2 linked regions of the Struthio camelus genome follow. The protein of the gene in region 2 purifies or fractionates together with the protein of the main gene of each other region. This does not show direct contact. Links are inferred from orthologs where the notes say so. Each region holds a gene or a part of one and is shown on either strand. Other genes may lie near its edges.

Evidence for each region. Proteins that work in one complex are often made in the same cells at the same time.
Region 1: the proteins of TMEM192 (region 2) and LAMP2 purify together in Homo sapiens (affinity purification with western blotting; 5 studies listed by BioGRID and IntAct, with this or other methods). This does not show direct contact. The link is inferred for Struthio camelus from reciprocal best matches to the Homo sapiens genes TMEM192 and LAMP2.

Annotation. Positions count from the first base shown.
Region 1 is NC_090952.1:11,883,215-11,891,642, reverse strand, and holds the start of LAMP2 (lysosome-associated membrane glycoprotein 2), read right to left. Parts: upstream 3,336-8,428; 5' UTR 3,223-3,335; coding exon 3,141-3,222; intron 1-3,140. UniProt on the Homo sapiens protein: Lysosomal membrane glycoprotein which plays an important role in lysosome biogenesis, lysosomal pH regulation and autophagy.
Region 2 is NC_090945.1:43,271,580-43,279,835, forward strand, and holds the start of TMEM192 (transmembrane protein 192), read right to left. Parts: upstream 3,181-8,256; 5' UTR 3,148-3,180; coding exon 3,103-3,147; intron 175-3,102; coding exon 28-174; intron 1-27.

The sequences.
Region 1 (8,428 bases), on a different chromosome or scaffold from region 2:
GAGGAGGTAGCAAGTCAGAGAAGGAGAGCTTCTTTCTGCTCAGACTTTTGAGGTTTGCAACTCATGGGAAAGGATGGCTGCACGGAAACAACAGACATGAAAATTCAGTTCGGTCCTTACTCCTAAAAATATGTGAGGCTACTATGCATTTCAGCATACGTTCCCTCCTGCAATAGTCTGCCTGACCGGTCTAGCTGATCCATTAAAACCTGCAGATCTTTCTACAGAACTAGAGACTTTTTCTCCACTTCATGCCTTCGCAGGTGCTCACTCCTAACTAACTGGAGAACCTCATACTTAAACTAGAGAAGTGACTGAAGAAAAGGAGAATACAATCCAGTAAAGCAAAAGATTGTTCTGAATGTTATTTACACCCTCCATAGGGCATGCTGCTTCTCAAGGTTTTGAATTATTTACTCACCTCCATCATCTAATCACTGAATAAAATTCTGACTCTGGGCAGAGAGAAATTCTGCTCACTTCATCCCTTCAGGCTGACAGTGAACAAGTGGAAAAGACAGTGATAAGAATTACTAAACGCTCCAGGACTCATGAGATTTCTGAATAGTAGGAAAAAAAGAATACAGGAGCATATATCAAGAACAGCTATGTAGCTGAAGACCCCTGTTTACATTAATTTCTAGGCAGCAGAAGATTCTGTTAAAACTTCCACAGTGGCTGTAACGCCCCGTAAGGCAATACCTACAAAGGGAAATCCCTCAGCTAGCAGAATTAGAGACAAAAGTAGTACATCTACCCACAAAGTAAGGCAGTAAACACTAAAGATTGCTTGCACATTCACAAACCACCGGTTTGTTATGCCTTTTTAGGAGAATTTTTGTTTGTACAGAGTTCTATGGTGCACTAGAAGATACCAGCTTTGCAATTTACTACTGCAAAGCACACAAACTTACTGCCAAGAAGTAGCTTAGAGCTCCAGCAACATTAAATAAAAGCTCATTTTTTAGTTAAAGAGTTATTTATTACTGCACCTGTGTACCAGTTCTGTATTACCATCCATTCTCATTTCAGAAGAAACTGGGCCAGGCCTTAAGTTTCTGGAAACCACTGCAACCTAGCCAGCATAGCCATGGTACTTCAATATAAACACACCATGTCACACGGCATGTTAAAAGACTATTGACTGAGCCAAAAGATAAGTATATTTAGAAGTAATTATTTTACCACAATTTGAAAAGCAGTATAAAACTAGCAGGAGCAACTTTACTAACTTGTTTTGTAATACTGCAATTTCTTGGCTTCTCAATGCTGTTTTACATATTAGGAAAGTCCCTTCCACCCTCATTAAAAAAAAAGATATGAAAAAAGACATAAATTGAGCTCTGAAACTATTTTTGCTATTAATTAGTAGGTGAGAGCAAAAGGAAGAAAGCTTATTTACTATGAGTAACTGAAAACATCCTAAGAAGAAGTATCAAGTTAACTACTACTCAGACTGTTTTCCTTACAGAGAAAGTAGCTTGCAATAACTTCTCCAAAAGGGATACTTCAGCACAGGTGGTGGTAGATGGCAGCAGTAAAGACTGAAGAAATGCTACAGTTAGCAAGCGCATACAGTAGACTTGACCAACACAGATAATCCCAACAGACATACAGCACCTTACACGCCCTGACCTGCTTAACAGTGAGTAACTGTAATTTTTGCCAGTACAGCTTTATTCCAGCTGCCAAAAGATGCACCTTCCCTATAAGAGATCTGATCTACTTTTAAGTAACTAGTTAGAAGATGTCCTCAAAAGCCACAGACACAAACGTGACAAGCATCTAACACAGTTGGCAGGAAGTGCTAGCATAGCAGAGGACTACGTTCAGTTAACTGCTAAATTTGTAATATAGAATTTGCAGGACAGGGGCATTCTCTTCATGAAACCTGAAGATCAGACAGCCTCCTTGCATGCTTTGCTCACGTAACAGTGCTGCAGACAGTAAAACATGATTAATAAAATTAGGGATTGCATTTATCAGAAGCAGATTAGCCTGGCTTTTTGCAACCTCTAGTCAGTCTACCTCTTTATAGAAGGAGCGTCTTTGGATATAAAGGTACACAAGGTTTGTGTGTGTGGTTTTTTTTTTGTTAAAAAAAAAAAAACCCACTACTTTCTCACCCTTACTATACCAAAGGCATCTACAAATGCAAAAGGAGTGCTATGGTATAATACTGCTACTTAATGCAACAGCAAACAGTGGCAAAAGTTGGCATTTAAGTATAAGGCTTTATAATGGAACAAAGAGAGTATTAACAAAAATACAGAGTGAACTGAGGGGCAGACAAGTCCATTCTCAAAGCCATGACCTGAAAGGACAACGTTACTCTGCAAAGTGCTCGTCACGCTTTGAGAACGCTTTATAAGGGAGAACCCCCTGAATTCATCCCAAACCTCACTTAAATACATAAACATATATAACTCATCTCTTCAGAGATAAAAACGCGTTACTAGCACTTGCTTGACTCCTACTTGAGTTTTCTTTTTTAAGGGGAACAAGAGTTATTCCAACACGCTCTATATCGCGTGAGAGTATGACCGTTGGTCTCCCCAGCTCCAAACGCGCCTCGGTTGCCGCTGGGAGCCGACCGGGAGGGCTCAGGAAGGCGGCAGCGGCCTGCGGGCTGACAGCGGCAGCGCCGAGCGCAGGGAGCCGGTCGGCGGCCTCGCCTGCGCCCTCGCCCGCCAAGGCCGCCGGGGCCCGGGCGCTCGCCGCCGGCTGCTCACCCACAGCGAGCAGCGGGGCCTTCGCTGCGCCGCAGAGAAGCGCCAGCCCCGACTCTCCCTCTGCGGGTGACGGCGCAGCCGGCAGAGCAGCCCCGGGCGGCGGCGGCGGCCGGAGGGGGGGGGGGGAGGGGGCGAACGTCGCCGCCGCCGGGGAGGGGCCGCGGGCAGCCCCAGGCGCCCCCGCGCGCTCGGCCGTTGCCCGAGGCCGCGTCACGTGCCCGACGCGGGGGGTGGGGGGGGAGGAGGGGGCACGCGCCAGCCGCCGCGGGGACAACAACCGCCCCCCGCCCGCGCGCGCGCGCGGCCCAACGGCCCTGGCGCGCGGGCCCGTCGCCCCCTCAGCTCAGCTCAGCTCAGCCGCGCCCGCCCGCAGGCCCCGCGCCCGCAGGCCTCGGCGCGCCCCCTCACCGGCGGTGCCGAGCAGCAGCAGGAGGCAGGCGGAGCAGCGCGGCAGGCGGAGCGGCCCCCGCGGCGACCAGCGCGGCTCCATGCTCCCGGCGGCGGCAGGCGGAGGGGTTGCGTGAGGCGGCGAGGGGAGAGCGGCGGGGAGGGGGGGATGCCTAGAAGCGGGCGGGCGCGGCAAAAGCGTCGCCGTCGGTCATGTGAGGGGATGGGCGGGGCTGTTTGCGCTCCGCCAATCGCCGCGCCCGCCCGGCTCGATTCCATGGCTCTCGGGCGAGGCGCGCGCCGCGCCTCCTCGGGCGGGCGGCGGGGGGGGGGGGGGGTTTGGGTCCGGGTGTTGCCTCAGGGGCTGGGGGCCATTTTCCTGCCACACGCCGGGTGGCAGCGCGGTGCCCGGCCGATCCCCCTGTAAGACCCTATTTCCACTTCGTATAGCTCTACTCTTTAATTTGTGTCAGCTTGGACTCGGGTTTTCCTTGAAAAAGGCCTGCTCTTGGCTAAATCTCCTTTTTTTCTTTTTTCTCCTTTTCTCTCTCTTTTTTTTCCCTGCTCTTCTTCTATTTCTCCATCCCTTCTCTCCTTCTCATCATATTTGAACCTTTTCCATGAGTAAGGCTGAGGGAAAACAAGTTTTGCATCCAATAAACAAAAATCTGCTGACCTTTCTTTCCTTGGGTGAACTCTAGCATTTCCATGTTGTGCAACAGGGACTTGGCAAGGAGGGGCCCTCTGAGCCAGAGACGCGGTGTTTCCTGTTCCTCTGACCGTCCGCTGCAGACTTCACAGTGCTGAAGATTTCTGGTGTGAACATGCTCAGAAGGGGCTTTGAAGATTTCAGTGGCCGAGCTCCTCTCAGATTTCGTCATCTTTCACCATTGTTGAACAAGAGAGAATCCAGCAAGAGTTAGGGGCACAGAAATACGTTATAAGAGGAAAGCTTGAAAGACTTTTTAAACACAGAAATGCCATCTCTGGCTCAGAACGCCCCTGACCGGCCTATTGTTCAAAGCTGGCATTGTGTAACAAAGAAGTAGCGCTATATATTTACTCTCTTCTTATAGTCTTCCCTGCATGTCCACTATTGGCTACTGCAGAAACAGGTTATGAGGCATTTACTTTGACCTCATACAGCCGTTCTGAAGTTAACTGGGCTCTTTTTAGGTTAAGAAGAAAAAGCTGAGAGAAGATACACTAAGAAAAAATTATACTTTTAATATAGAGACTTCCACTGGAAAAAAAATAAAGGAATAAACTATTTTCCATGTTTACAATAAATAGGATGGGAGAGAAATGGGCTAAAATGACAACAAATATTTACGTTAGATAGTGGGGAAGGACTAGTAGAGCTTTGCACTAGATTCGCATGCCAGATTGTGTTTTTTTAAAAAACAGGTTAGACAAACTTCCTTCAGGAAATTATTCTGTTGTAGGGCAGAGGTGGACTTAGATAGTCTCCCAATGTCCCTGCCCGCTCTAATCTCTGTGATTCTGTTATCCATCATTTCACATTACCCAGGGCTAATCAGAGATTATACCACACCTTTGCAGAAGTAGGCCCATTCTCTGCCCCTTCCTAGCTCTTCTTGTGTGTGAGCAGAATTCACATGTACCGTGCCTACTAAATGACTGGCTAGAAATCTTTCCAGTAATTGCTTCTGTTAAGGAGGGTGGAGTTTGGCATTAGCAGCAAGAACTGGGAGGCTTTGCTGCATTTGCACTAATGCCTAAGTGCAAGACAGAAAGAAGAAGGCAGGAGAAAGAAGCTGCCAGATGCAAGTGCAGGAGAAAACACACGATAGGGTAGATGGGAAGGGGAAGAAGACAAGAGTGGACATGAAACCTGGTGAATCTGAGACTGGATGGAGATATAAAATCAGCTGGAAGTTGAATTGAAGGTTGGAGGGTATTGATCAGAAACAGACACAAAGGTTGTCTTGGCACAGAAACCATGGTTAAGAGATGGGAAAGAAGAGACTGACACTGGGAGACAGCGAGGAGAACGGCAGGAGGATTCTCAGCTGCCTGAGGAAACAGGAGCTCTAGATTCAGTAAGGGCAGGCCCTACTGGAATAAGATATGTGTGTTTCTCTAGGAAAACCGCAAATGGTATTTGACTAACCAGGATCTAAGAGATATACCCAGTGATGCAGGAAGAGAATGAAAGCTCTTGAAGAGGACAATGAAACACTTCAACCTGGTATCGTGAGACAGAGTCTTAAGATAAGGCATAAAGGTGGTGTAGACAAGAGGACGAGCATAAAGTCTTGAGGAAGTTGAAATAATGCAATGTATGAGTATATGGTAATTAAATAGTCTAAGTTATGTACTTGTAATGCTGTACTTTTCCAAAGAATATCACAAAACAAAATCTGGCAAGGCTAGAACACCACTGAAACCAGTGAATTTTACAAACGGGGCTTCCACCCACAAGTGCTTGTGTGTTTTTTTTTTTTTTAATTCAGCCTTTGGGCTTAATTTACTGAAAACTTATCTGAGGAAATAAAATTTATGTTTAATACTTGAGCCATTGTTTGTTGTAGGCCGTGGGGGAGCTTCGAGTGTAGATGGAATGGCATAGATAATGGCATAGATGAAAGCACTAATCCTGAAAGTAGCAAGTCTTTGGGCTTTCAGCTCTAGGGCAAAAAATGGGGCAGTTGAAAGGCTAGGGAGAGTCCCATCTCCCATGCTTTTACATATCCTCATGCTTTGTTGTTTTAGTGAAATGGAACATGGTCACAATAGATCTTGTTCTTAAAGAGTGATCGTTCAGGCAGGAACTCCATTGAAAGGTTTTAAATATTAGGATAGCGACACTGAATTAGGCTTTAACTAACGGGAGCAGGAGAAAATGGGTGATATGTTCTAGGCAGTTGGTGTGCAGCAATGTCGTGTTTTGTGTCAGCTGGAACGTTTACTTCAGGACATGAGCTTTATTTATAAACACTAGTGTCTTGAATATCCCTTACTTCTGATAATATTCTGATCTCTTGCCGGTACCTTAGAAATGGACTGTAACATGACTAGACAATCTGCAGAAGTGAAAGGAAGAGTGATTCCTTGTTTCCATTGTGCCAGCTTAGTGAAGTGTGAAATGAAATCAAATGGTAGATACAGTAACAAGCAAATCTGTTCCTAATAAATTACACAGAGTCAGATTAGCGACTGGTGTAGGACTAAAAGGCTAGTATAGTGCATATAATCTAGCATGATGTAAAATATATTATTTTGCACCAGAAATATCGTTGATATCACAACTGTTAAAGACTGTCCCTAGCTACAATGTGGGCAGTGATGAGGCAGCCATGAAAGGAATCTCTATACGTTTCTGCCCTTCCGAGAGGAGTCCTTGGGAAGACTCCAAAGGGTGAAACTGTACCTGGAGTGAGTGGGTGCAAGCACTTTTCATTCACATGAGGGGTGGAGTTTGTCCAGCAAAACCCACATGCTTCAGCTATCTGAATGTGGTGATTATCCGTTAAAGATATGTTTGTGATTCTTAAAAACAATGCACTCCTGCATTAGCACAGTAATACTCTCCTCTTGCCTAGCCTGATAACAGAAGCTTGGTTTTGGCAGTATTCTCCCTACAAGGCCAATTTTTGGGCAGTTTCCAAAGCCTGTCTTCTCTTCGTAGTTCTCCAAGGAACAACATAAATCTGTGTTCCTCTCCCTTTTTCAACAAATCCTCCAGCTTTCCTTAGAAAGGATTGTACTGGCTGTGATCAGGTGTTATCTGATTCCTCTTAAATTCCATGAAAAGCAAATATACTCAGTACTTGTAGGATTCAATCTCTAACAAATATCCATAGCATCTTATTTATCATGAGTAAGTTCCTTGTTGACTATTGTGGTCTTAAAGATGACAGCATTTATGTGGGAGTGGGACTTCTGTAACAAAGAGCAAACTCTTAACGATCAGCTGCTTTCCTTGGATGACAAAAGTGCGAATGATTGCTAGTATGATGCAGAAAAAATGCCTTAGCCTTTTGCCTACTGGGGGGATAGGATTTTTTATTTGGCATAATTGTGGGAGCCACTGATAGATGGTAAAGCTGGTCCTGTTTTTCTAAGACGCTCCTTGCAGTTACTGCTGGATTTGAAAATGAGGACTGTAATGTCACTGTATCACATTACATTTTTACTGCCTGGTATACTTAGCTTGATGTCAGGAGTTTCAACAACATGTACTGAGGACAGATATGCGATACCTATGTGATTTCTTTTGTAAGCTTCAGTTCAGCGAGGAATATAAATTCATGCCTAATTTCAGATGTATAGGTTGTTCTATGGCTTTCATTCGCACCATATTCTTGATGTCCAACATATGCTTAATCCGTTGCTGAATCTCTTAGTAGTTTTCAGCCGGTTTGATATTATGTCTGTATTCAGATTTTCCTTAATCCTGAGACTTGAGAAAATCAAGGGATGATTGTGTGGACAGAAGCAAAGTGCTCAGCAATGTTTAACAAAGCACTGAATAAACTGAGCGTTTCTGATCACCGGTGCTGGAGATTACAGGTTGTGAAATGAAGAAAAAAATATAACATCTGGAGCAGGCAGTAATTACTGATTTATTCTAATGTTTTGTATTCACTATTTTAGATGTCTGTTTAAGCAACATGTTATTCCATGGTACATTTTTTCACAGACCAGATAATAGCGGAACCTTTCCAGGAGGTGGAGGAAGGATTTGGCACCATATCCCAAGGGAGGGGCTGATGGAAAGAGGATGGGGTTAATAATGGCAGGTCCTAGATTCACTTGGCAGAGGCGGATGAACCACAGGGGCCCTCTGGAAACTGTGGCAATGACTGCACGAGTTAAAGCTATGGAAGTTTTCCTTTTCATGTAGCGCCAGTTTGTAGTTTGGTTACTTGTGCTGTGCTGTGGCACAGGAATTTGCTGTGGTCTGGACACCTTAATGACGAGCCTGCTTTGTCCAGCGCAGCATGACATGTGAGGTGTTTCAGCTGCATGTGAAAATGTTGGTCTGCTCAGTGTTAGAAAAGGGATGACTCTTGACAGCTCTGTTATGGTAGCTCTAAGGCAATCGCTTAGTATCTAAAATGTGTGAAAACTGCGGTTCATTATTGTTCCGAGCAGATGGCAGTGTTTCTGAGTTGTCGGCTTTCTGGAGGAGGTGGTGGTAGGAAACCAAACCATTAAAAGCCGCTGCTCCAGGAAACTGCTGAGTCAAGACTCGGGCAATCACGTGGAATGCCAGAAAAAGAAACCTTTGTTAGGAGGCGAAGGGATCAGAGATCAGGTTGCAGCAGAGACAGCTGCAAAAC
Region 2 (8,256 bases):
GAGGCTATCATGCTTCTTAATACTTACATGTATGAACAACAGAAAATTGGCAATAAGGACTGCTGGAATAGCACGAAATCTTGGCCTCAGTTGGGAATGCAATGCATGAGACGAAATAAGTGGTGCATCAAGTAGAGGATCATCTTCTAAACTCTGTGTTATTTCCAAGGAACCCTGAAGCAGGGGAGGATAACAAAAAAGAAAAAGTAACCCCAGGGAAGCTTATGAAGTAGGGTACAAAGTTTCAGCAACGTCCTGCTGGAAACTTCAGCTCTGGGGACAGAACTATGTTAATTTCTTGGGAGACATGCTCCCTAAGTTGTAAGCAAACTATTTCTTTTCACACCTTTATGTAATAACTCAGTCACTCAAGAATTTGACACTAATTACTACCTAGCATTGCAATGAGTCTGGAGGAACTTTAGTTAGCATATGAAGAACTCAATAAGCATAAGACTTTACTACAGAGGTTCTTCATAAGAAGAATGGAAAAAAAAATAGCCCCAAACAGTAACCTTGCCTTTGGTTGTCACTTAAAGCAATGCCTGATGACCACACATATAGCTAAGATCTCCGTGAGGTACTTCTTTGTGGCCTATCAAAGGCTACAGAGAACTAGTATGCCTACATGGGAAGGTGGAAATATTGATAATTAAGGTCTCTCTCATTTTTCATATAGGTCCTGCAAAAATCCTTATTCTTGCTTTTGTCAAAATAAAGTTACAAAGATAACAGAGATAGCTGCAGTGTACCAGCAACACATAATTTCAGTTTGAAGTGATTCAGCTACTAATACTAGTACCATATCAAAAGGTTCATACAAATATTTCTTCAGTAAGTGTCAGCTGGTTCAAACTGAATCCAGGCAAGAGCAAAAAGGCAGTGCAGAAGCAGGGAGGTGCTCCAGGTACAGGTCAAAACACTCCCTACTTCCACTAGGGAGTATCAGCAGCCTTCTTTGACTTCACATGAGCTCATGTTTTGGCTATGTATGTTTCCCAGAGTAATTTTTGCAGTTTTTAAAAATAAGTATGGGTGGCAGGAACACCTTTCCTAACAGACAAAAAAGTTGCCCTAGTGGCCTTTATCTTTGTCACTTCCAAACTAGAATACAGCCATTTGGCACACCTGAAGTTGAATGTACACAGCCATTATGAATGAACAACATGCTTGCCAGTGACTCAAACTCAAGTTTCTCCCTTGGCATCCTGTTACTTTCCATGCTATACCTTGTTTGCTTTGAAAAATAAGGTCCCTGGTAAAGTTTTGCCTGGTCTCCTCTGCAATGAGGCCAGTCACAGCCCAGAATAAAGCATGCAGAGCGGAGAAACCCCTGCCGAGAGCATTATCAAAGGGGTTTCCAGAGATGATCAGCAGAAGTTAGAAAGTGACCATCTAGAAAGCACTACCAGTGGTTGCTTTTTGCTGGAAGTGCTTCTATTGCTATGGATTGGGGGGTGGGGTACCAAAGCCAAGAAAGAACAGCTGACCCAATACCACTCCAGAGTTCTGGCTAATCAAAGCGATACACCATAGCCCACTGGACTATTTATTGTTGTTAAAACTTAGGACTCCGCATTGCCATGATAGAAAGCAGGGCAAAGCTCAAGAGAAATTAAGTATTTCATTCCTCAAGACACTAGTACGAGGAGAAAGATGTGAGACAGAGGAACAAAGGTTTTGAAACTAGAATTAGCTTTACACTTCATATTAACCACAACAGTGCACCTATCTATTGGCTCCCCAATCTTGTTTCTCCTACATACAGCTGCCTGCCTACAATGAAGGAGCTAGTTTCAATAGTTATTTCAGTCAGTGTTTAATTTTACTTTAGTAGTGTGCACACAACACTCACCACCTACCACAGAAGACTGAACGTGTTCTCCTCACTTGATTCCTTTCAACCTTCTGATTAGGCTTGTCGTCTGTAAGCAAGCCTTCCTAAAATACTCACCTGGTAAAACAATGTTTTACTGCAGACCTGAAGATCTGCACATGTTATTGGACTGTTCATGTTACTGGTATAGCCTCTGACCCACACAACCCCTGTTCAGGGACCAGGTGGATCTTTAAAGTCTGGAAGTGAGCATGTAGGACAGGCATGTCAGCAACCAAAACATCTCTACTTTGCCCTCCCTAATGCACAGGGTCAACAGCTCACTCCTCCCACCAGAACAACCATCTTTGCTAGTCTGGATGATATCCTTTGTGTCACAGAAATACATGACCACTTGTAAAATTCAATGACAATTCAATTTATTCCTTCATAGGCAGAGCTTTATCAGCTGTTGGGCCACACTGCTTTGTATGAGAGCCTGCAGCTCATCTTCACACAGTGAAATACAGCAAACATCAGGAAACACTGAAGGCCATAACCTCCCAGAAGAGTTATTATTACAGGCAGCGTGGGGAGGAAGGGAATAAAAGCAAGAGACACAGTGGTGAGAACACAATTAATCTGACATTAACAAAATCTAACAGGCATCCTAATGAGATCAAGTTCAGACTTCACTTAATTAGAATGAGCTATAACCACTACTATTAAAAGCCTAATCAAAACATAATAAAAAAGGGGGGAAGAAAAAAGAGCGACTTCTGTTAGTCACAGATGTTAATGCAAACGCAGGTTAAGGCAGCCCTGCCAGCTCCAGGCCCTGCCCAGCACCGACCACACCAAAAAAAAAATAAAAACAAAAACAAAACCGCGGCACACGGAGAAACCAAAGCCACACAAGCACTTCGGTCAAGAACCCCGATTACAGACAAGGCGGGCCGGGCCTGCCACCAGCCCCGCGGCCGGGCCGGGCCGGCCGGGTCGCGCCGCCCCAGGCAGGCGGCGTCTCCCTCTGGAAGCGGCAGCCGGAGATACGCCCCGCTCAGCTGCGCTGCCCGCCGCCTGCCCCCGAGGGGAAGAGAAAGCCTGGGGCGGCCGCCAGGACGGCGAGGAGCGCCGGGCCCGGACCTCCCCGCCCGCCGGGCCCCGCTAGCGGCCTCCCCAGGCGCCCCCCCGCCCGCCACCTCCGAGGAGGCGGCGGCGGTCGGCCCCGCCGCGGCGCCCGGACACGCGGCCTCCCTCCCGCCCCCGCGCAGGCCCGCGCTCACGTTGTCCAAGTCCCGCTGCTGCCGCCCGACTCCCGTCACCGCCATCTCCGCGCCCCTTCCCCCGCCTCCCCAGCTGCATTTAATCGGCGCCCGCCTGCGCCAAGCGCAAACCCCACCTCCCCGCCCCGCCCCGCCATGACCGCCCCCGGCTGCTATTGGGCCTGGGCCGCGCCGGGGCGGGGGCGGCGGCGGGGCCGTGTCTGCGTGGGGGGCGCCCACGGCGCGGCCCGGGGCGAGGGGCTGGTGGCGCCCTGCGGGGCAGGTGGTGTCATGGCGGCGCCCCAGGCCCCGTGCAGCGGCGGCAGGGCCCAAAGACGCGTGCCCCAAGCCTGCGCTGGCGGTGCCTCCTGTTGTTAAACGACATAGGTCGGTGGCCTTTGTCGCGCAGCTTGAGGCTGGATTTTAAAGAAGCGAGCAGTTAAAGCAGGCCGGCAGCCCGTTGCCCTGAAAGCCGTTGTGCGGCCGAGGCGTGAGGTGGTGGTGCTGGGAGGGGAAGGGCCGTGCTGGGTCTGCGCCTTGGCCAGCGCCGGCCGGGGCCTGCAGCTGCCGGCGGGCCTTCCTCCCTGAGGGGTGAGGGTGATGTGGCGTCGGCCGAGGATGGCATCCGCCTAGGCGAGGTCAATAACAGCACTCTTACTGCCCAGCCCTGTGTTTTGTCTCTGTTATCTGCCCTGTCCGTAACGGCAACAAACAGTCGCTGCCTAGGGAAAAATAAGAGAGTTGAGCCGCTGCAAAGTTATTTTCAGCTTGCTCTGCAGAATGTTTTATCATCCCTAACAACTGGTATCTCAGGGAATTTTCGAGAAAGGGACAGCGTCTACGTACTTAATCATTTCCAGCGTATTTCTCTTCTGTGAAGTCCTGTTGCCCCATTAGACCATGTAAAATTTAAATGTGCGCAAGATCTCGGTCAAAAGATGTTTCTAGCTCAGTTACGTATTTTGTGGAGAAACACGTTTCCTTTTAAACCTGCCAAGTCCTAATTTCATGTTATAACCCTTTGTTCTTGTACTGGGAGAGCCAAAGCGCAGCTGATCCCCATTCACAGTGTCCCTGCTACCCGTTTTATGGATGTCTCTCTTACTACCCCTTGACTCCCTGTGGAAGCTGAACACTCCTGGCTAATTAGTCATTCTTCACACAGAGGTTGTCCCAACCTTTGATAATCTTTGTTAGCTTCTCTGAAATGTTTCAGCTGTATCCTTTCTAAAATAGGAAGGATCAGCACCGCACATAACGTTCAAGTGTGTGCATAGCAGGAATTTACAAAGTGGCATATTTATTATCTGCTTGGTGCTCTGTTTCTTTGCTAATACTTCTTAACCTTTAATTTGCCTTATTTGACCATCCCTGAACTTTAGCCTGGTGTTACTGAGGGCACTGCAGGGGATCAGAGCTGTGACAGTGGCTTGAAAGAAAGCAAGGTTGTATCATCTTCAGGTTGGAAGCAGTCTTCATGTTGTTAAGAGAAGCCAGGACTTTGACTTTCTGAAACAGCCCCAAAAGGAAAAACTGCTTTTTTGAGGTATAAACTTCAGTCTCAAGCTTATTGTCTCTATTTCTATAACTTTTTTCTCTTCTAGAAAAATACCCAGTGGAACCCTCCCACCCAAAGCATTTACATGCTGCATGGCTGGCATTCATTCTTGTTTTGTGTGGATACACATATTTAACTCCTTGGGCAACTACCTTAAATGTAAAAACATACATTAAACCTGCTGGTTTCAGTAAGATTAAGCCCAACTATAAAAGCATTAAGCTGTTGTGATGTGAATCTCCCCAGTTCCATTTGCTCTGCTGAAATGTTCTGTTTTTCCACTTTGTTATTGTGCTTCCTCTTCCCCCCTCCCACTGCCTTTCTCAGTAGAACACAAATCCTGCTGATCAGCAGTCACAGAACTTGGAAAAAAAAAGACAAAAATTTTCTGTGGCACCGAAGCAAGACCACAATTCACTGGTTGCTGCACCAGCAATTGGTGTCACTTTTGTAATGTGTATTGTCTTGAGTAATGTGTATTGTCAAGAGTTAGCTTGGCAGGTGTGGTCTACACCTACACAGATCTAATAACCATATACTTTAAAGAGAAGGATATTTCAATAGATCAGTTTAAAAATTGATTGCACAATTTTTACAAGGATGCTCTATGACTGCTAAAGCTTCCCATTTCTTCATATAACTGTATAACTTATCTGCATAGCTCCTTTGTTGACTCAGCTTTTAATCAGCATTAAAAGAATGAGGTCTTCATGTTCAGTATGTTGTGCAAGGAACAACAATGTCTGCCTTCTGGCTAATATGTCTGTTCTGGAATAACCAGAAATACTAGTGTGCAAGGTGCTGCACCTAGTCACACAGCCAGAAAGCTAGTGCCGGCTGGAGTGCCGGCTAATAATGCTAATACCTTTAACATTTGTCTTTAAATATAAATACACTTATTTATATTAGTTTTAAAAATACAGCAGAGCTATTTAAATCAAAACAGCATTAAATGTTTTGAAGAAATCACAAACCACTTTAATCCTTCATAAAAAATCATAGATCATCTTGTGTTGCTTAGCTACCATTGCTTTTATTTATGACCAAACAAAATGCTCAAATGCATGTTTATTTCTTATATTTCCCACATTTTGTTTGCTTGCTTGCTTATGTGCCTACTTAGGAATGCACACATATGTTTTACTCCTTAATTTGGGAGTTTGGATTCTGAATTTAGCATGGATGATAACTTGAGCTGAAATAGCGTGTGTGGGGGACAGATATAATCGAAAAAGTTAAGTGATTTAGAACAATTGTGCAGCAATCTGTGATCCAAGAAGCCAGTAACCTGGCACTCCATTCGTTACTTGGATGCACAAGGTCTGTGTAACAATTGTTACTTTGTATAACTATTTATTAGCACAATAATTTCAGTTGTAGAGGCATTCTTATTCATCCTCTTGCCAGCCTCAGTAAAATAGTGTATGCTAGCTGTAGTCTTGTTTTCAACCTCTTTTTGCATGCATACATCCAATACAATCAGGTGAGAAAACACGAAATTCCTCTACATTATGTCAGTAGCGTAATATATAAAAAAAGAACATAGCTGCTGCTAAGCAGCTGTCACTTCTCTGTGCTTGTTTAGAGATCATCTTGTATAGCAAGCAATCTCTGGTCTCATCTAGAATCCATTACTGCAAACTGCTGTATACTTACAAAACACCTCTATTCAATGGCTTGCAAACAGATATGTAATAGAAAATATGCATGATGTAGGCAATTATGCATGTGTTTGAGATTAAATCAAATACATAAATTATTTGAAGTATAATTTTAGATACCTAAAGTCCCAGCAGGGTTACATCTATCAACAGTCATTTGAATATGTATAATTTTGTATATACTTGTGAGTAATGTTTCTACCGAGTTTAAAATGAAGTGTTTTCAAAGGGTTACTAAAGGGCACAGTTGGGTAAAAATTAAAAGCTTAAATATTTCAAATGCACAAATATTTATTGTATACAAGATTAGTTAGCATTTTCAGAAATATGTGACTACAATTTTCAACCAGCATACTTAAAATATGAATGTAATTATTATCATAGTATTCTATTCTTGTTCTTAGTGTGACAATCTGTGCTGTGTTTTGGTCAATCAAATGAGTTACTAGATTCACAGGTAATTTTTAGTGTCAGAGGTTTTAGTAATGTAAATAGAGTAGTTCTTTCTCTTCTGCTGAATTCCTGTTTCAACCTCTGGCAGATTTTGCAGACATTGTCATTTTAGTGTACCTGACTTGAATCTCTGCTAGTGAGGGTGGATCCAGTGCTGAGAGTCTGAGTGTGAAATGAGGCCCGTTCTTACGTTACTTCCTCTGCAACTCCAACGGTGAAAGAGTCTGATAAAAATAAGGTAAAAAAGACATGGTATGGCCCAAAAATGTCATGCTATGATGTCCTTATTTTCAGACTACCCTTTAGGAAAACTAACATAGGTTAGAGCATGCCCAGGTTTAATTCCTGTACTTAGACATAAGCCCTTCCATGTCAGTAATAACTACAATATTTGAGGACTAAATTTCACAGTTGTATCCTGACAAAGAGGCCTAAAGCTTACTCTTTTTCCTCTTGCAACTTTATGTACAATTTGGCATTAACAGAAGCAGGACTGGGCTCCCAATGTTTTCCACATTAAGCTGTAAGGGGTATTCATTATTTCTATTTCTTGTTCATATTGCAGGCACAATTAGGACTTAAACTATATTCAGCTCTGTGTAAAGAATACAGTCTCTGCTCTGAGAATATGGGATTGTGACAGATATCAGCATGAACTAAAAATACAAATGGGAAGTGAAAAGGTCAAATAACGGTAAAGACAAATATATTTGCATGAATTGATTGTAGCAGTCATACTGCAGTAAGTGAAGCCTATGTTCTGGCCTCAGGTTACAGACACATCACAGTTATCTCAAGCCTCTGTAAGTTTTTAAAATCCTATTGAAATTAAAAAAACAGTTCACTAGTAAATACACATTGGAACTAAAGGAATGTTTCTCACTGTGTATCATTTCCAATCTTCACATAACGTAAGGTGCGCTTCATGTTAAGGTTTCTCTGGTGAACAACATGGCACTGTTTCTACACATTAATTACCTGATAAAATTGCTAATTGCTGTGAACCTTTGGCTTCATAAAATACTCATTAAAAATCCTGTGGCCCCATTTTCATTTAAATGCAAGATACTGAAAAGAGAAGAGCAGCGTAACACTGGTTTAAATAAAAACTCTTACAAGTCTTTTGCTCTTTGAATTACAAATTTGAATGCTGGAGGCTTGGTGTGGCCTGTGGATAACTCTTCCACTTCGTTAGTACCAATCATTTAGGAAAATGTTCTACGTGTCCATAACGGAGTCCAGAGAGAGTTGATGAAAATAAGTAGATAAAAGTTATTACATCTGAAGAGAAAACATTTGAACTGCTTAATGCAGATGAGACAGGGGAAATAACAGACAATGAAAGAACTGTGAACAACAGAATGAACACTCCTACTGACTTTCTTTTATTCTATCAAAAGAGAATTTCCAACTATATGCAAAAGCAATTACACTGAGGTTAAGGAAAGGATACAACTTTCTATTGCATTAGAAATTACATTAGAATTATACAGTAGAATATAA